Linked DNA regions of Neodiprion lecontei. The protein of the gene in region 1 interacts with the protein of each later gene in a pairwise test. Links are inferred from orthologs where the notes say so. Each region holds a gene or a part of one and is shown on either strand. Other genes may lie near its edges.

Region 1 (7,848 bases):
TTGCACAGCTAAAAGATACGGGAAAAAGTCAAGTGCAAGTAAGCATTTAGAATACTCAGATCGAGTTTTATTCATTTAGATTATTCGTGAAAGATATTTGTCAGGCGAAGGAAGAATGCTGTTGCTTACTGCAAGCGCACGTTCAATAGTGAATGGTGATTCTGGTTCTATGTCAGCGCCGTGTCTCTCCTGGCAAATGTCTATCATGCAGGCTAGCAGATGTATGCTCCGCGAGCCTCCTGCATACAATGCTTCGCAACTCTCGAGGACTTTTTTATTTCGCCCGAGTCCGCCTTCACCATCGTGCTGCAAGATGCTAATGAGAAAAAAGGCGAGAAAATAAGCAATGTCAAAATTTTACTTGGCGCTTGGTAGTTCGCAATCAATACTTGCATGAACTGTCACATTACAAGTGAATTTTTTTCTTTCCTCATTACCAGAAATATGTAAATCAATGTGACTATATTTTTTTGGCTACAGATACGAACCCTCTAAGATAATTCCATGCACTTTCATTCCCCTTGACTAGCTCGATTTTCTTCAAAGTATAATCAACTTCTCGTTCAATAACATGCGGCTCAAACTTTGTTGTATTATTCAAGACAAAGTAGCGTTGATTCCAAGCAGAATTATTTCTCACGTCGGCGTCCAGCAGTTGCTCAACATATTCCAACTCTCCGTCAAACAAACTGGCAATTGAATATGCACGTTTATTACTCTAGTAAGCAATTTTTTGTGCTTGAACAGAATACTACTTACGCTAAGAAAAATAAATTCGTAAAAAATACTTGCTTGAAAGTTTTTATAATCCATTGGCGATGCTGCCACGCATGATAATTCTTCGCATCCTTTTTCAGTACATTTTCAGTCAGAGCTAAGTCCAAGCTTGGATCTTGGAGCCATTCCACGATTACCCTCCGGTGATGCCATACTTGGTAGTTTTTTGGAGTTCTTCTAATCATTGTTTCTATATACTTGAGTTCGTTCCAGAGGTTCTTGTCCAGTGCTTTCAATATCTCTCTCCTGTACTGCCATACCGTATAATTTGCTGAATTCAGCGTTATGCAGTCCCCCGTTAAGTTCAGAGCTCGCTCAGACTTTTCGCCAGACTTCAGAATGGCTCTGAAGTAATCGTATGCATCTTTGACTGTGAAAACGGTTTGAAACTTGATAGTTTTTATCAATTCAAATCGAAATTTGCATGATTCACATCGTCGATTTTGCGTTGATCTCAACTGTTTATAAGCTAAATTATAATAGGTTACATCCACATTGTGGACCCACCTGATCGGTTATATTCTGAAAGTTTCGTGATTCGAATCTGACGCATAAACTACCAAGAAATAATTGACGAAACAATTGAACGAATTGAATATTTAAATATCTTACATGTTTCGGAATAGGCAATCGCGACAATTGGGTGAGGTCCATCATCCTGTGGAACAGGCGTAACGTCCTTCCATTCATTTCTGTCCCTGTAGAAAACCCAGGTGCTCGATATTTCTTCTTCTTCAGAAGAGTCAGACATATTTTCACCCGGCAAACGTGGTCATAAGAATTTTAACTAAACCCGCTCGACTTTAGCTATCGTCCTCTTTTCTTAATCCCACCCGATTTCTACCCGTATTCCACGTTCGGGTCCTACTGTATAATCTCACCGCATATCTCACAACCGCAAAGCCGCGGTCGCGAATTTCAGTGCTACCAACTTAGGTTTAATAAACAAAATCAAAGTCATGCGCATCGACATATAGGTATATGTCCGTGGTCATGCGTTCCCAGCCATCGAGGCATAATAAACAAAATTGAAGCGGTGCGATCCGAAATTACGCGTGACTTACAGAACACTATCGTATCGGTCTATTGACCATGAAATAATCATACAGAAGAATTATAGAGACGAATTATAAGGCAAAATTAGAGAATGTTAGGTAGAATCTGACAAACGGAACTGCGTGATGTGATATATTTAAATATACCGTAGTGGAGTACTGGATAGCATACGCGCCATTGAAAATGTGTATACATGTGTAGATGGCGCTTATAATAGTTTTCACCATGGTTTTACATACAGACCGTGGTTTTCACGAGTGAAAAATGTCAGAATCAGGACCCAGTATCGGCAGTCAGTAACCTCGGTTTCGGAACACACGTTGCGTCGGGATTAGGCCGAGTGAAGACTTCGGAACGCGCGTATATCGCAAGGTCAAGAAAAAGAAGTTAGCGGCATCTGGTGAGTGCTTGTGAATGTAGTGTGTGGTCGAGGGTCAAGCCTCCAGGGCGAAGCGCCTAGTGGAAACAAGGAACTATAGATCTACTTGTTCCGACAAACGACTTCCTAGGAGTTGGGACCTAGAGTAGTGCAGAAAAAATGGCGGATGCGGACTTGGATATCGACAATCTGATACAGAGATTGCTTGAAGGTACGTCTAAAATATAATATAACGATACGGATGTCATGGCCAAAGTAATACCGTCTATCGCATCTCTTTACTAACATACGCCGAGCCTTTATTTCCCATGATATTTCACGTTATAATCGTAAACCAATTATATGCTGTCTAGTGTGTTTTCTATACTAGCAATGAAAAATATCACTTCTTTCCTATACTCTCTTATCTCTTCTCTTTCTTCCCACATTACCGCTACTATTTCTCAGTCTATTCGTACATTATTATGAAAGAAACGTCGTTGGCTCACTCCACACTTGTCAGCTGTTTCCTATAACAGAGAAAAATTGGAAATAAACGACTAATTGTTGTCTTAACGGACACCGTTTGTCGGTATGGACACATCGTATATTGATTTTTTATTTGTTTTCGTAAAATTTTCTGTTTTTTTTCTCTGTCATGCTAACCGTATTTGTGGGGATGATCTTTTGCGGTAAAGTATATCAAACGCAGAAAGAACAGGTTCAGAAAAAGGCTAAACTTAAAGACATTTTTACCTCAGACTTTGTCGGTATGCCAATTTATTAATATATTAAAAAAAATTTTTTCTCATTGTTAATTTTTTCTTTTTTATTTCACCGTTACCATTTACCAAATGCATCCACATTAATTGTTATCGATATATCTATCAGTTTGCGTTCTCACACTATTGAATGCAACATCAGCACCAATCCTCCCTTTTCTTCATGTATCAATCTCGTATTTCGATACACACGGTCGAGCTCACACAAACCTTACACAGTGAAACGCTCGTCTTGAGAACAAAGTTCCATACCACTTCCAGCAATATTGTTTACCTTGCAAGATTTGCTAAATATAGATTTTATACTCCAAACACCACGTGGCTTTGCTCGGATTAGACTTGGGCTTCAAATTAAATTCGTCATCACCAAGGGGAACTAAATCTAGAACTATGTTTGTACGTTCTTGTCTTGCGACATTCATTTTAGTCAACTTCAGCAGTATATTTCTTTCAATATCTTGCCGTCGCTCTGTTAATTATCATTTTTATCTTTGTTGCTAGGCGCATGTCTTGTCTATATACATAAATTGCTAGTTACGTTTTCTTTCTATTGATAATTACCATCAGATGTAGTCCTTCTAACATTTAAAAAAGAAGAAAAAAAAAAACAATAGGTAAGAACTCGAGCTCTGCATAACAGAGAACTTGCTAAGTGCGGTAAATTTTCATTGCAACATGACAGGAAAACAAAAAGATTAGACTTTTATCCACTGTTCGCATTATTCTATCCAATAAGTACAGGATGTAGTGTCATTGGTGATACGACGACCTATCTATACATTTTATTTCGTAATAGTTACAGTCATCGTCATGCAAAAGTGATCCAACTACACTGCATAGGCCTTCAAAGTCGTCTATAAATAACAAATTAACACTACCAAGCTGGAGAACATCTGCTTTATTTTGATTACGTCACTGTAAATACAGTCCATCTAAACTTTGCTTCGTTAAATTTTGTTTCTTCATTTTGTTTTGAAGATATTCTTTAACGACGGCGATCAACTAGTTGCTTATTCTTCGAAAAGTAACTAACTGTAACACAATATCCGACAGTCATTTCTAGCTTGTATAATAAAGCACAGAGAATTTTCTTTTCTTTTTATTACGTAGGTAACAGAATATTTGGTCACTTAACTTGTGGGTAGTATTCCAGCACTCCCCCCTGATCTTGAAATACTTTTAGCAACATCTCTTGGCAGAATGTCACCACACTTTTGCATAATTACTTTTTGATTTCCTTTCTCTATCGTCGTTCCAGTATAAACGCAACGGTACTGTATAGTTGTAAATTACCAAACTGTATAGATAGATAGTAACGTAGTTATACATCGTAGAAAATAAAGATCCCAAAAAAAGATTTGATTAAATTAACCCTTTTAGCGTAGCATTTTGTAAAAAGTTAGTTTTCGGCACAACAAACTATTAAAGCCGTACAATTTATATCATAGTAGAGAGCATCAACGTTCTATGAAATCATAATTCATTCATTGTTAAACTTGCAAAGCTGATGTTGAAAAAATAAATCTGCCTCGATGTTATGACTCTACTAGCGAATACCGCTGACTATAAACTCGAAAATTTTGGACACAGTGCGAGGATGTCGACCTGGGAAATCGGTGGTAATGACAGAGGCCGAAGTGAGAGGCCTCTGTCTGAAATCGCGGGAGATATTCCTTCAGCAGCCGATACTACTGGAGCTCGAAGCACCGCTTAAAATATGCGGCGATATTCACGGCCAGTACACAGACCTGCTGCGGCTATTTGAGTACGGCGGATTTCCTCCAGAGGCAAACTATCTCTTTCTAGGTGACTACGTCGACAGAGGCAAACAGTCTCTGGAAACGATATGCCTGTTACTCGCCTACAAGATCAAATACCCAGAAAACTTCTTCTTGCTAAGAGGAAACCACGAATGCGCCAGCATAAACAGGATATACGGATTTTACGACGAATGTAAACGCAGATATAATATAAAACTGTGGAAAACCTTTACCGATTGCTTCAACTGCTTACCCATCGCCGCTATTATCGATGAAAAGATATTCTGCTGCCACGGCGGACTCAGTCCTGATCTCCAGGTGATTATTTAATTCGTATTTTTGAGAAAAGTTTGAACACTTTTCAGGAAAAGTTAGATGCAAAAACAAAAATTACATCAAATGATTAAACGTAACGAGTAACATTGGTTTTACAGGGAATGGAGCAAATCAGAAGAATCATGCGTCCAACCGATGTTCCAGATACAGGACTTTTATGCGATCTCCTTTGGTCTGACCCCGACAAAGATGTTCAGGTGTGTATAAAATGTATTAGAATACGCCGGGTGTAGCAGGATACAGCGTGTTACCTGTCTCTATTTATATCGTTGTGTAATAACTTATCAGATGGTTCGAAGCAACGGTGTACAGCACACGACTGTCTAAACACGCCTACAATGTTGATTCTGAGCTGCGTCCAGCAAGATTTTACAATGCGATGTAATGTGAGGCTGTTTTTCTCTCCCGCAGGGATGGGGCGAGAACGACAGAGGCGTATCTTTCACATTCGGACCTGACGTAGTTTCCAAATTCCTAAGTCGACACGATATGGATCTCATATGCAGAGCTCACCAGGTCGTCGAAGATGGTTACGAATTTTTTGCTAAAAGGCAGCTCGTCACACTTTTCTCAGCTCCGAATTACTGCGGGGAATTCGACAACGCCGGCGGAATGATGAGCGTCGACGAAACTCTGATGTGCAGTTTTCAGGTAATCTTCACTTTTCGTTTCTTATTCACCAGCGAAGATGACCGATTACTTTGATGCCCCTTTTCTACATTGTTCGATTTAAAATAAAAACAGATCCTGAAACCTTCTGAAAAAAAAGCAAAATACCAGTACAGTGGAATGACTGCGCAAGGTGGCAGGCCATCTACGCCGCAGAGGAATCCAACAAAAAAGAAATGACCACCTTTCGCTGATCCCGCGTAGCAGCAAACACTTTCGTTCTAGGTAAGATGATTATAGAGAGAGAGAGAAAAAAACAAACAAGTATATTAATAAATATCTAATTTTTTATCTATTCAGACTGAATGATTTACGATGCAAATACTGTGAATACTTACGTCACATGATAAAATCGATCCCTGTGAATATAGAACACTGCAACAGGCCTCCTAAACGTCTTAGACTCGATTTGCAAAAAAATTTAAAAGAAAACGAAGAAAAGTTAAACTCCACTGGGAGACCTGCCATAAGTTCTCTTTTGATCTTTAGCTATTTTTCAGCTGATAGAATTTTCATCGCCTTTCAATGAATAACGCGTTTTACTGAAAATATATAACGCCGGAAAGGAGGCAAGGGTTCAGTGACACATATTGAAGGAAGTAACCTAGTCTCTACAATTATAATTAAACAAATCAGATTATATTTATTAAATTATTGTTAATAATTGAATCAGTGGCAGTTATAGACGATAATCACGACTCATGAATCACTGCGGTGAACGATTTGAAGAAAAGTATATAAATAGATGGGAGGAGCTTTAACTTACATTGAACGACGACGTCGGACGTTTTCAGTTAACTTTTCCGTGCATTGATCTCGCTTTGCTTTAGTTTATAAAATAACATTACCTCTTTTAAATCCAAAATTAATCAGCCATACTGAGTCCTGAAGATTCCAGAGACATTTAACCTGCTTAAATCCTAAATCATACCAACAATGTGAGTAAAAGTTGACCGAAATCCGTAGAATATTGGACTTGATTTTATTTTTCTATATGTTTCAGCTGTGGAACGTGTCACTACAGTATGTACACTAACTAAAAACTCATAATTCAAAACGAAACGAAATAAAATGAAAAAAAAAAAATAAACAGAAAACTTGAATACTTAAAACGGGAAACGACATCTTCCTTATTACATCTCAATTACACTATTATCGCAGGATGCTTCTTTGTATAAAATATCGATCAATATATACATTTTTTTTTTTTTTGTTCCTCTAGTTAGAAAAAGTCACTTTATCGACTGCCCAATTTGTTTATAAGGTGAACAAAATCAGCGAGTTCCGTCAACATAAGCACTAAAAAATAGCACATGTACTTCATATACTTGCTACCATTCTCAGTAACAGTTATTCATTTTCTCTTACATGATGATCGATCCTTTTCTATTTCACTCATTTTTGCGTTTAGCAGCATTTTTACTCCTAATTATTTATTATTACTATTTGTTCGTTCAATTTCGACAGGCAGGTTTATATATATATATATTTTTTTTTTTTTGCCTCGTCCTAACTTAATTATTGATAAACACTCAGCATACACAAGGAACGCCATACATACGACTATACCTTCGTGTAAATTATTGTTATTATTATCATCATTATCATCGTCATCATTGTTATTAATAATGTTATCATTATTATTATTATTGTTATTATTATTTTAATTATTATTACCGTCGGAAATCATCTTTTCTTAATCGCTTATTTATTTTCGAACGTAGCATTGTATCCTACAATTTACGGACTGAGGCAGAAAAAAGAATATTCAGTGTAATAGCTGTCGAATTGAACCGCGTATAACATAGAGGACACAATGCTTACATAAAAATAGTCGGGTAATATGTACTACGATACTGTAATAGGGAAAAAGAAAAAAATTCTTTTGAATATGAATAGTTTTCAGTTACACACATACATTATTATTATTATTAATATAACATAAATATATATCATAAATATACATGTGTGTATATATATATATATGTATATACATATATGCATTTAAGACCACAAATGAGAAACAAATACAAGAAAAAGAACGGAAAAAAAACAACAAATTTATAAAAATGAAAAAAAGCCCCAGTATTTTAATGACTCTAAGATGATG
Region 2 (7,143 bases), on another chromosome or scaffold:
AATTATTAATATTCACCAACAACACAAACATATTTACATTTGTCAAGATAAACATAAAACGTAAAATTTCAAGTCGAATTTCACAGTGCTGTTACACTATTTGGAGAAAAGTTTTATTCTGAAACAATTAGAAGCGAATAATGAATAAAAAAGCACAAAATTCAAGTATAAGTAAGTCTTAATGTAACGTAAAATTCAAGTAAGAAATTTCTTCATCGTTGGTTGTACCTTTGTCTGTGGCGTTCCAGTAATCCCATGTTGTTACAACGAGTGGAGTGGTTTTAGTAAATGTTTGAATCGAATTCGCCGGTAAGCAACCCGTAGCTACTATTAGTGTTGTAATAAACAAATTCAAAATTCTCATTATGAAAATGTCTCGATGCGATCGTATTTCAAAAAGGAATTGCTCGAATCGTGTGTGACATTCAAGGAATTCACATCACCTCTGCCGTTACTGTTGTTTCAGCACGACAAACATGCCGTATGGATAAGGATGAACAGGGATTAAACATGATAAACATACGATTGCGATTCAATTGTCAGTTCTGATTGGCTTATTTGACACGATTTACAGATCTTCATTACGAATGTAGTTGTGTACTCTGTTTTAAAATACATGCTGTTTGTCCAATGATAACTGTGGCTCAATCAAGTTGAATAACCATAGAGATAATAACAAATGGAGTGGGCAAGATGCAGGGGTTAGCATAGTACAAAGGTTGTGCGAATAAAAAGGGAAAGCAAATTGAAGTATACCTCTATCTATCCTTGTTGCATATACATTTACACATGCGCAGAAGAGAATCAGAATGATAGACTATTCAAAACTGCTTACGTTAATGTTGCAATTTTTCATTTGTAACTTTATTCAATTTTCTAAAAAGGTAGGTAGGGGTACTACCTTGATTTTTTGTCTTTGTTTTTATCACTAACTGGCTGTATCATTCACTTACCCACTCTATTTGTTGTTATCTCTATTTATATAGATAATTCTGGCTCGTTGACTAAAGTCGTTGACTGAAAACTGTTATTTTCCATAAACGCCCGCCTCAATCTCCGGTGAACCCTCCGAGAAATATGCAGCATAGAAAAATTAATGTGTACATAATCACCTAAACAGCACATTAACTTTTATTATCATCACACTTGTTTCATTAGAATATTACATAATGCGATACAATATTTATTCCGTGTGAATTGTATTTATAGAATATTAAATAACTTGATACGATACATATACCGTGTATAATTCTATTTTGGTGTGGACAGATTTCATCATTGACTGACTACTCTTACCGATTGAATTATTTTTGCATTGAAGCAGAATTTTCTGCATTTTATACTATAGAATCGGTAGTTAAAGATACTTTTTTGAGTAATATATTTGGTAATTTTTACTAATTTTATCCAGTCCTACTGGAGCGCATCGGCATCTTTTTGTTTCGCTACAATTTCGAATTCACCGCTCGTCCACATAACCTACAAGTCAGATGCATCATTGTTTTTCCAGTTTTAACGAAAACTATGAAGGAGCAAATTGCGAGGTTTGCGGGGAAATTATTAGATTATTCGCACCTCAATTCGTCTAAGAGATATATCAAAGTGAATTCGGCCATACTTCGCCTTGAGAAAACCCTCTTTTCATTTGTTTCTGATTCATTCGCAAACAATGCAGAAGCAATTTATCAAAATAATACAGTAACAATGAGTAATTAAGATAATATATAGGAGTAATTAAGGAGCAGCTCAAAGCTCATCCCTTAGAGCATGTACAGTATAAGGTTTATCCTGTTTCGGTGGCATAAAGAACGTCTGGGCACCAATATTTGTTTGAATATGGCGCCACTTTACTGGAAATGTTACCCACTCACGGTACCTGCAACGTTTTTTAGGATTTTCTCGAAAACCGCATGGGAGCAAATAATAAAGAATAGAGAGCAATTAAAAGCAATTGGGGAGAAATTTTTTGGCATAAAATTTTTTAACACATTCGAAGGTCGCAGGCCAACTCTATATAGTACTAGAGTTCAGTGGTCGCTGCAGCTTGTAAGGACTCTACCCTTACCTACCGAGTATTTCGCCCTTTGAAGCTAGCTACTGATTAGTTGTTTTCTATTAATTCGTGTTCTTGCCGAGCTATTTTTAATGTCGACTTAAAAATCTGTAATCGACTCAGCCCTTGTTTGTTTCCCGAAATATTTTTGTCAGAAATTCGCTTTATCTCCTTTGAAATTAAGAATGGTTACTAAATTCGTAGGAAGACTGAGGTTATAGATGTTTTATTAAAAGTACGCAACCTAAATGACAGATAATGGCGAATCATTACGAAGTACCTAGCTGGTATGTTATTACGAGAAATTATTACATTATAGGAATTCATACAATAGTATCCGAATTACAAATGATTTGAGCTAAAATATTTTTCATAACAAGCATCTTCCGACCCAAAACACCAGAATGACAAACATTGTAAACAGGTTATGTTTTCAGGGCTGGCAAACCTCCGGTTGGTTTGCATTTGGATGTATTAAAGGATGATAAATTAATCCAGGTAATATCCTTATTCGCCTACTAGAAGCATTTAGTGTTTCAGTAATTTACTTCTCAAGAAGTGTCGATTCTCACGTTTTTAAAGAAACCGGTAAACTCAAGAACTTTTTTGTTTATAAAAGCTTTCTTTGATTATTATACAAATATTAGTTCTTTTCGCAGCAGGATTTCTCTACTCTTGTGGTTTTAGCCACCATATTCACTATATCACTGACGAATAACGCCATTTGAGACTCTTAGAGCCACTGAGAAGTATATCACTCTATAAATGAATTAAACTCTTCCCAGAAATTGATGGTGGATGAAAAGAAGTGCTATTTATTCGGCCGCAACCAGCAAATGAACGACTTCTGCATTGATCACGCCTCGTGTTCCCGAGTTCATGCAGCATTAGTTTACCACAAGCATTTGAACAGAGCGTTTCTAGTAGATCTTGGTAGCAGTGAGTATCACATATGGTGTTAATTATGTCATGTATTGATAATTTCAGGAGTTCCATTGTCCAAATCAATAGTTGTTTTAAATTTTATCATGAGATAGTCGTGCATGGTGAATGTATTAACCTATTATATTCGTAAACTACAAAGGTTTCTTTAAAAAAGCGAAAATTGAAAATCCTGGAATTTCAGATAAAATCTTCAATATCAATGCTTCATTTAAAATAACTTCGAAACAGTTAAAAATCTAACAGGTTCAAATTCGCTCTATGATGGCCTTTCAGAAGATTATTGTTTTTTAGTAGTCAATTCAATATTGTAATTTTTTGATCACAATTAATATCTGCGCAATTTTGTAAAGCTAAATGTTTAGCGATGCCAACATGATTTAAAAAAAAGTATTTCTATGAGTTTGTGGAAATCCCAGAAAAATGTCCTAGTGAAATGAGCCATTCTAGAGTGAAAACGAACCTACTACACTTTTAATTAATTTGCAGCAATTTGAAACAAAGCATCGATATCCAAGCTTTCGTTTATAATTGTAGCATTTTCTGTTTGCATATCTAAAGAAATTACGACTGACTATCTCGTAATAAAATGAATGAAAAGTATATATTTTTGGTCAACCAACCACCTTCAGCTTTTACTTCATTAATTTGCCTTAACAATTTTCAATTGCAGCACATGGGACTTACATTGGAAATATGCGGCTAGATCCCAACAAACCGACTCAGTTACCAATCGACAGTACTTTTCATTTTGGCGCATCCACAAGATACTACATTATTCGAGAGAGACCGCAATCTGGGGCAAGACCGATAATTGAAGAACTAGAAAAATCTTCCGAAGATAATGACGCCGGTGGCTTACTTGGGCTTCCGGAGACTGAAACTGAGCTTGATGTAAGATATGCCAAATAATAATCTTTAGTGAATAGTGAACATGAAGTTTGTATTACTTCTACGTTTTTTTAAGGTTATTGAAAAATTTTTTTGCTGTATAACTAACGCATTTTGAACTTTGGTTATATCATAATCAATTATCGTTCTACGTATTTATAGAATTATTTCAGAATCTTGACCGATACGGTATATAAAGATATGGTTCGTGAAATGCAGTTGAACTTTTGAATGTCATAACTAAGCATGCTTCTAATTCAAAATTTACTCCTACAGAATTTGACGGAATTTAATACAGCCCATAACAGACGCATCTCGATGTTGGGAATAACGGATGATGACGTTCATAAAGCGACGAGAAAGAGAAAAAAGAAGGGCATCACATTCAACGACGACGAGGAAGTTATTAATCCTGAAGATGTCGATCCATCTGTTGGTAGATTTCGGAATCTTGTACAAACGACTGTTGTTCCCAGTAAAGTAAGTCAATCTCCTTGGTATCACTTCCTAAGTTCCCAACGATCAATCAAAGATAAAAGGAGAAGAGAGACTTCCAAATCTCTCTTCACGTTAATATAAGCGTAAACACAGAGTATGGACTGTGCATATGGTGCTGAAATTGCGTTGTGCAAGTGCGAGGGAGATGGAGGTAGTTGCGGCTAATATCCATCTCTTTCTAACTAGGAATGTAGTGCTTGCACTGAATACCTTGCGCTTCAACAAAAAAGTTCCTAAAAAAATTCAGACTTTTTCTTGGCGAGTTGTGTTCTCGATTTTGTAATGCTTACCTACTATAAATGGAACTAATAGAATAAAATATTTGATAGTAGTAATTAGGGCTGCGCATTTAATCAGACTTCGATTAATGGAATCGTTCACCCTTTCAATTATTCTTTTTGTCGATTGACCAATCAAACAGCCTTTTCAGTTCATTGTCGTCGAGATTAATTAGTATTTGTTAATATTTTCTTCTTTTAGCGAATGCGCATGGAGGGTGGCCTTATATCGTTATCGGAGGAAAATCATCACAATATGATGAAACATCTTCAGCCAAGTTCTGTTATGCCACAACTCTACCATGATTTACCTCCAGAACAGTTCTCTAACGCACATTCGTCGATGTCTAGTAACCCGTTTTCTACAGCACTGACATCACTGACTTCTCGCCTTGGTATAGCTTTACCAAACCCGGCTCCCGAGGTAGAAATGGCGCCGCACCAAATGCAAACAGAGGTGCCCCACATTCCAGATATATCAGGATCTTCGGAGCCACATTCATTAGAGCCTAAGAAAAAAAAGTACGCAAAGGAAGCTTGGCCCGGGAAAAAACCGATGCCTACTCTTTTGGTATAATTATAGACTTAACGGAATCCAGCTATCTCAGATCAGCGGTTATGAACGATCAATTCTCCTGTATCCGAAAGACCTTCTCAAAAGGATAAAGCAACTAATTTGGAATTAAATTTTTCTAGAACATGCACACGACTAAGTAATTCGCAATAATAAATCCGATTTTAAAATTCTTAATGTAGAATTGCGAACTTTATAAATCTGGATACCTTTAAAGTACTGAAACTAATTGTCCAAATGAATTCTGCTGTCACCAATCTGGAATAGCTATCTTAAGAATACAGACTAAATTCGTGAACTATTTACCTGATGAGGTTTAATATATTTGCGTGGTATCGTCCAAGTTTTCAACAAAAATTTCCTATTCAAATATAAACCATGATTGTATCGTCGTCGGTGAAGTGAAATATGTAAATAAAGTAATAAGAGATAAATAATTGATCTGTCGACAATTTTAAGTTCCACTCGTCTTTAAACGGATTTAATAGAGTAATCAAATATAGCGTAATATTTCGTACTGAAATCTCCTTTGGACCTTTCGGAGGTAAACAATTGTTGAAATAATACGAATTTTCCTATTTCAGGTAAATATATTTTAAAAATTAATGAGAAGTATACATTTTGTGATATAATAGACATGTGATGTAATTTGCGTTTATTCAGAAATTCAGTGTCAAGGAGCAAAGTATTGAATTCATAATAATATATCGAAGTAACAAGTGAAAGGTAAATTTGCAATCAGCGTCAGTCATCATTGTTCATCAGTATATTCATCAAAATGTTCAATACAAATTTTTCATATCTATTGTTAAGTGTATAAAGACAGTAAGAGGAACGATTGTCTCGTCTTTTATTCAATAAACCTCGTCAGAAATCAACGTTAATCCATTGCTATTCCATACAGGTGTTGTGTAGATTTTCAATGTTACAAACGCAAGTTGAATTCTAGCTCCAAATAATCAAGAGTATAATATTAAAGATCAAATTTTAAATTCAGTAGAAAAATAGAATGTATATTATTGAATATTGTTAATATAAAATTACTTTGTCAATCTAGCATGATTGTGACACAATGTCGTGATTCGCAATAGCAATGGGCCACGAAACCGTACTTTTGGAAACAAAGTCTCCAAGATCAGTTTTGATCTTAACAAATCTTCGTTTGAACTCGATACCGCATCCTTTGGACAATCTAAAGTCTACGAGTATTTTCCCATCCATATCAACGATATTTGCTTTGAAAACAAGAGGCATTTTCCGTCTATCAACAGTTGCAACTGTGATCTGAAAGAAGATATTAGCAGAATTTCAATTATTTTGATGAAAAAAATTTCTTGTGATGCGATTTGTTAGAATTTGTAGGTAATCTATGATCAGTGTAACTTTTAACTTTTATCTCAAACTTGACTCAAGTTACCAAAAGGTTTATTTAGAGTAGTGCAATAACTTACAACACCAACTTCGCTGACTCGACACGTGTATCCCTCATTTTCCAAAACAGATAACAGCTTCTTTGCAAAGTTGTCACCGTCCATTTTTACGAAAAATCTAGTCATACGGCGTGCTAATTTTTGAAAGGTGTTCTGTCAGATAATAAAAAATTTCAATTAATTCAAGGATAGTTTTCTGAAATTATAGTTTTTCTATAACTTTAAAAATGAAACATTTTGTCGACTTTCTCACCTGACTTGCGCTCTGCGTATGTTGAGTGGTTTGTAATGGCGTGCATAGCAATAAATCCTCTACGTCTGTAGGCTGGGAAAAAGAAAATCCTGGCCTTTGTTCAAAGTTCATACAGTCCATCTTGTTTATTTCAATACCGGGCATCTCAGGTTGCGACAAACAGAATCTAGACACATCGTTGCCATTCGCTGAACACCGTCGCTTTGGTACATTTCCATCCACCA
Region 3 (5,610 bases), on another chromosome or scaffold:
CAAACGACGAGACAAAATATTGAGTCGCGAAAATCGCGCCGGTGCGTAAGAAATACTAAACAGAAGGCCGAACCTTGCTTGTCCTTTTCAGCGATGTCGTGAGTCCTTATAAGGTAACTCAGCTCCTTGAGGTCCCCGTGAAAAATAGATTTGTGAAGTGGATAAGGCTCGTCCGATGTTTCCGCCATGTTTGTTCTTTCCTAATTATTCGAAAGCTGCAGCTGCTGCATGCGATTCTGATCGTCCCTAATCGGCGATCAGCGAAGTTTCACTCTGGCCGTTAAAATTAAATCTCGGATAATATCCCCCGTCGATCGTCATCCTTATCTTCGTATCCGTTCCACTCCCATCATCCTCACTCTCTTATGCACCGCTGTTATTGCTGTCGCGTCGTCGACGTTCAATGATGACGTTTAACGTCGGTGATACACGTTTAACCCGTTTAACTCGCGGCTAGTTTCCGCGATGATACCGTGCAATCACACCGACGAGCTGTAGTCGATTCACTGCCGAACATGCCGGACATGCCTTCCGTCCTCGCTCGTCGACGCCGCTCTTTTTCACCCGAGGATTTGCAAACGTTGCGCGTTCGACGCGCTGTTTATTATATCAGAGCTGGCGTGTTTCAGTTTCGGTCAGGCGATAAGGGCCGCGGGATTTAAACTATAATAAGTACTATACTTCTACATACTCGAAATTTAACCGGCCGAAATACGAATCTCTTCACAACCGAGAGGCTTGCAACACGCAAGTGACGCAAACCGTGCGCTCGCGGCTCACACAAGCCAGCGCTTTTTATGTTCCCCCTCTAGTAACGTCCTCTGAAACGAAATAACATTATAGAACTAATTTTCGAGGGGTCTGGAAGGTAAATGCATGTCTCGTGATCTCGTGATGATAATACAGAGCATATTTACTTACCGTAGCGAGGTCTTCACGTTTTCCCGCGCAAGCGTCGCTGCTCCAGCCCTAACTTCAGGCCAGCGCTAACTTCAGGCCAGCGTTGCCAAATATCTTTAGATTTCTTATTTAGATGGCATCACAATAATTCTTCATATTTATCATTTTCAATAGTAATGTTTGACGGTATTGAAAGTCATTAAATACAAGAATACATATTGTGTTTGATTTTTTCACTTTGTGACATGGGCAATTTTTTTTCAAATATATAACAGTAATTACCGTACGAGGTAAAACACTGTTTTGCAAATTTGTAAATCGTAATGAAACGAAACGTATTCATATTTTGTAATCCTAGTTACTTCAAAATCATTGTAACAAAAATATAAATATACACAGAAAAATCGTATTCACGTTTTTATTCATTCGTAATCAATAATATGTACTGTCTCACGAATGCTGTAACGCTCAAAACGCGTTTAGCGTAATTCCAAACCCAGGTCCAGTCATGCGATGGAGATTCACTAACAGGCGATGAATAATGTTTTACCAGAAATTGAAAACACATAAAATTTGTTAATGTTTACTATTTTTGTTGTTTTCACCACTGCTGGCTCACCTTGCTATGGTAAAGATGATCTGTCTTATTCGCTGCTTTTGTGGAGCTAAAAGTACGGTAGAGTGTGAGTCGTTAACCGACACGGGCTTAATTAACTGTCAGAAAAAACACAGCCAAAATGAGGAGACACGGAAATCGGGAGTTATGTGACCTGATCAAGCATGCCAATTTGATCGGCGTTTGTTTTCCCTCATATCTATGGCTCGGTGATTTGCCGTTCTGAAAACATCAACCCCACCGATAGCAGATAAAAATAAATGAATTAATAATTATAAACTAGGTCATAAACATCTAGGTGAACAGTAGAGAATGATTTACTGCCTTTTCTTATTACTATTAATCATGGTTTTTTGCTGATTCGAAGTTCACGGTACGACTGTATCATTCTAGGCGATACATTATTGTCCTACTCTTACCGACCAAATCAATTGAACGTGACGTCATTGATTCACCTGACTTATTAATGACAGATTAATGACTCATTCCTCCAACGTTAATCGAAGTTTAAACTAAGTTCAGCCTATCTCCAAACTATGCTGTCAAAATTGAACGCCGTTTAAACTGCGTCGGAGGAAACGGGCGTTAGTTTGATTACAAGCTATCGGAAGAGAAGCTTTGTGAGACTATTTAGCTGCTTCGAATGACACGGCTCGTTCAATTCCCCCTAAAATTACGGGGAATTGACATTATATTTCAAGTGGAGGTACGAAAATCATTTCAGACAACGAACCTTGAAAAATCCGAACGATCTATGATTCGGTCGGTAACAGGTAATGATAGAGCTGTGCGCATCGCTTCGACACGTGATTCTGCATACGCATTACACACTACCGACCTTTGTATACACACGAAGAAGACTCACTTTAGTAAACACAAGGTAGGCGTACTTTGCGCGTAGAATTTCATTTGTCAAAGCGAGTGGCTGATGTTCAGCGGAACGGTTAGTAGGACTCGCCCATTCAAGATGGCACTCTGACGTCGCGTTGAAATGTGTCATTTTCGGGAAATAATTTGATATTGCTGAATTTTGACGCTGTATAACGCGATGGGAACACCCGAGAAGTGTGAGTCGCTGTCCGTCGCACGCTTGGCGCTCAATTTTCACTATTTTTAATTTCGGCGCATATTAATTACGGTAAATCGCGTTCGGTCTTTTTCGCGACCTCCAGTTTAAAGCGAGAAATTAAGTTTCCAAGAAAAATCAGTAGCTGGTAGATAAACGAAGGTAGGTGGTGTTCAAACGTCACCAGGTTTTTCTTTGTTTAGAATAACAACAGCATCGTTAATCGCTCCTGCATAACTACACTTTCAACTTTATCGCTACGTGCAATTTATCAGCACATTTGTGACATGCAAATGCATGCTCATAGTATTTGTGAAAATCTAGTTACATAGGTATGCCAAGAGTTGGTTTACACCCCATGCTTATCTAATCCCTCGCTCCGTGTTGTCGGACAATTTTCAGCTACGATTTTTCATCCACTATTATCAGTCGCACAAAACGTAACGTCAACCGAGGAGAACACCATGGAAAAGTTTGCTGTGGATATCGACAAAGTACTTGACGAGCTCGAATTCAACGAAGGTTAGCAATCCAATTTGCTTCCCTTTATAAAGGATTTTATAACGCATTCTTAGGGGAAAATAGAAACCATTCTTCCCGGAATGTAACATTTGAGTCGGCGTGTCTGTACATGAGGGAAATAATAGAATTCCAATAATCTCAGGAAATTATACTTTATGCAACAGTCACTGGAAATGTTTTGTATATATTTTTCAGTGTGTGTTTATTTTTTATTTTCCTTTATTTATCATGTATAACATGGTATATAAACATGAGGATAAACTTTTTTACGCTACTCATAATCAACATCCTTCGATAAACAAGCTGCACTTTTCTTTCCAATGTGGTTTATATGGTATCTTGTCTTCTGGACATGTCTTAATTCATAGTGCAAATACTGCATTATAAACTTCGATCTTTAAACATGATAAAAAAAAATTTTGTTTGAACATAATGATCACTGTATACTTTATCATCCATGCTTATCTTGAACAGAATCTGTTTTTAGACTGCATTACAATTTTTGGAGGAAATTAAGAACACATTGCATGAATTTTCAATTCGAGTTCTCCTTTTTGGCTTGAAGGTTTTTTCTATCTCCAATCATTGTTCACATCCAGAATTGAATTTTTATTTTCAGATCGTGCTGAACAAATTGCGTCTATTCCATTGCCTGGAAATAACGTTAACGTTGATCGTCAATCCCAATGTTTACCTCAAAGAAATCACAATCAAGCAGCCTTTGAGACTGTGATTGTGCCAAACGTAACACCAAGTGAGAGCCTAGATGAAACGGCTGATGTTCATAGGAGTTCGGATGTCAAAAGGTACGGGGAGTATGATAAAAACACTCGTGACTTAAATATTCAAAAAGGATTTGCAAGATACGACAGCACAGATGTGGGGAATAATTTTTATTCCCAGGAATCCTCGTCAGCAAATAAAATACAGCACAAACAGTCTGTCGAAAGCTATGATTCTGACGCCCAAACGTTGACGATACACAACGACATAGCGCAAAAGCCTCTACAGAAAAAACAAAATGATGCTAGTGGTATTAGTAGTAATAGTAACAATAGTAACAATAGTACCAAATTGAAAAACAGTTACGACAAGAAATTAAACCAGCCTAATGCCAAACCAAGTGTGAGCAATGTGTTTAGCAGTTTAAACGAATACATAAATGCATCTAGTGCTAAAGTTGATAATGTAGATAATATAGTTATTCGAGAAGATACCGGTCACAAGGTGCGCGATGGAGATTCACTTCAAATTAGCGATACGACAAAAGATCTTAATGTTGTTAAAGATAACTGCGGTAACTCGTCGAGCTATACTTCAGAGAGCAGAGTAGAATCAAACATAGAATGCAGAAGAGACGCTGTTAGCAGTGTTAGAAAAATCTCAACTGTCGTACCGCCAGAGTATCAAAATATTTTATTACCCGTTAAATTAGAAACCGCGTTGTCCGACGCTAGAGAAACCAACGAAGTTAAACTTGAGGAGAATATCAGTTTGTTACCAAATTTACGTGAAATTGACAAAGAACCTTTGTATACAAACACAACTTTGCCGACTGTTGTCGACAGGCCGAAAGAGTCAAAAAGTATTATAGACAGGCCTGAGCACGTTTACGAAAACGTTTACATCGGCACGGACATTCCGAAACCGCAGGAACTGTACACGACGGTTAATAAAGCGAAACCGAAGCCACCCGAGCTCAAAGCTCAAGAAGAGATAAAGCACACGTACGAAAACGTGGACTTTGACGAGCCAAAGAAAGTGGGAAAGACTGACGGCAAAGAAAACGTGTACGAGTGCATATATATTGGTAACAGAGAAAATTTTCCAGAAACAACGACGGAGTTAGAAATAGCAGCTAAAAAAATAACCGACCAATTACACGTGAGTGAGAAAAATTCGGACACCGAGGCCAAAGGGATTAATCTTGCCAAGCTGGTATTTCAAACTGTACAACTTGGCACACCGGAGACGGAAACCAAACCGGTCGGCTTCAGTCATATTGACGATTTATCGGAGGAAGAATTGAACAAGTATTTGGCAGATTTGGAGGCTGAAGAAAGAGCCCAGGAAGCGACGACGTCATTCGAAAATTCGGTACCGAGCTCATATCGAGATTCCGACAATCTAGCGAAAAACAAATTTCAAACTATGCGTGACGATGAGGACGCGAACGAAGCGCCAATATTTGAAAGCGTTACTATTGGCGAATTGCCGGAAGTATCGAGTGTAGAATTGTTGGAAAAAGCCAAAAAATTTCCTGTCATCGACTACAGTAAGAGCGGTCCGAGCAGCGAAGGGACTGCAGATTTTTTAGTGAGGAAAGGTTCCGAAAAATTTTCCGAACATACAAAGGTTATTTCCGAAGCGAAGGAAGAGAAGGGAAAGGGAAGAAAAAGCAAAAGGACCAATGAGAAAATGAGGAAAACCTCGGATAATTCGGAACCGAGTGCTGAAAACATTAGAACTGAAGACGATGATCTGAAACCTGTCGAAGTCGAGGAGG

The links.
Region 2: the proteins of serine/threonine-protein phosphatase PP1-beta catalytic subunit (region 1) and nuclear inhibitor of protein phosphatase 1 interact in a two-hybrid assay, tested with the Drosophila melanogaster proteins (2 studies listed by BioGRID). The link is inferred for Neodiprion lecontei from reciprocal best matches to the Drosophila melanogaster genes flw and NiPp1.
Region 3: the proteins of serine/threonine-protein phosphatase PP1-beta catalytic subunit (region 1) and zinc finger FYVE domain-containing protein 9 interact in a two-hybrid assay, tested with the Drosophila melanogaster proteins (2 studies listed by BioGRID). The link is inferred for Neodiprion lecontei from reciprocal best matches to the Drosophila melanogaster genes flw and Sara.

Annotation. Positions count from the first base shown.
Region 1 is NC_060265.1:28,570,189-28,578,036, reverse strand, and holds serine/threonine-protein phosphatase PP1-beta catalytic subunit, read left to right. Parts: upstream 1-2,150; 5' UTR 2,151-2,371; coding exon 2,372-2,423; intron 2,424-2,889; coding exon 2,890-2,961; intron 2,962-4,563; coding exon 4,564-5,051; intron 5,052-5,167; coding exon 5,168-5,266; intron 5,267-5,480; coding exon 5,481-5,720; intron 5,721-5,813; coding exon 5,814-5,918; 3' UTR 5,919-5,963; exon of another isoform or gene 5,964-6,038; 3' UTR 6,039-6,894; downstream 6,895-7,848. Other genes in the region: protein farnesyltransferase/geranylgeranyltransferase type-1 subunit alpha, read right to left, coding at 1-8, 130-316, 489-689, 793-1,147, 1,390-1,528. UniProt on the Drosophila melanogaster protein: Required for cell adhesion in non-muscle tissues and in maintenance of muscle attachment. Vital for larval development.
Region 2 is NC_060261.1:17,296,632-17,303,774, forward strand, and holds nuclear inhibitor of protein phosphatase 1, read left to right. Parts: upstream 1-2,096; 5' UTR 2,097-2,311; coding exon 2,312-2,340; intron 2,341-2,477; exon of another isoform or gene 2,478-2,490; coding exon 2,491-2,551; intron 2,552-2,838; coding exon 2,839-2,992; intron 2,993-3,668; coding exon 3,669-3,889; intron 3,890-4,162; coding exon 4,163-4,366; intron 4,367-4,864; coding exon 4,865-5,239; 3' UTR 5,240-6,228; downstream 6,229-7,143. Other genes in the region: N(4)-(Beta-N-acetylglucosaminyl)-L-asparaginase, read right to left, coding at 229-364; serine/threonine-protein kinase grp, read right to left, coding at 6,290-6,520, 6,688-6,819, 6,920-7,143.
Region 3 is NC_060266.1:4,607,547-4,613,156, reverse strand, and holds the start of zinc finger FYVE domain-containing protein 9, read left to right. Parts: upstream 1-2,466; 5' UTR 2,467-2,564; coding exon 2,565-2,583; exon of another isoform or gene 2,584-2,744; intron 2,745-2,984; coding exon 2,985-3,104; intron 3,105-3,723; coding exon 3,724-5,610. Other genes in the region: ankyrin repeat domain-containing protein 13C, read right to left, coding at 74-188.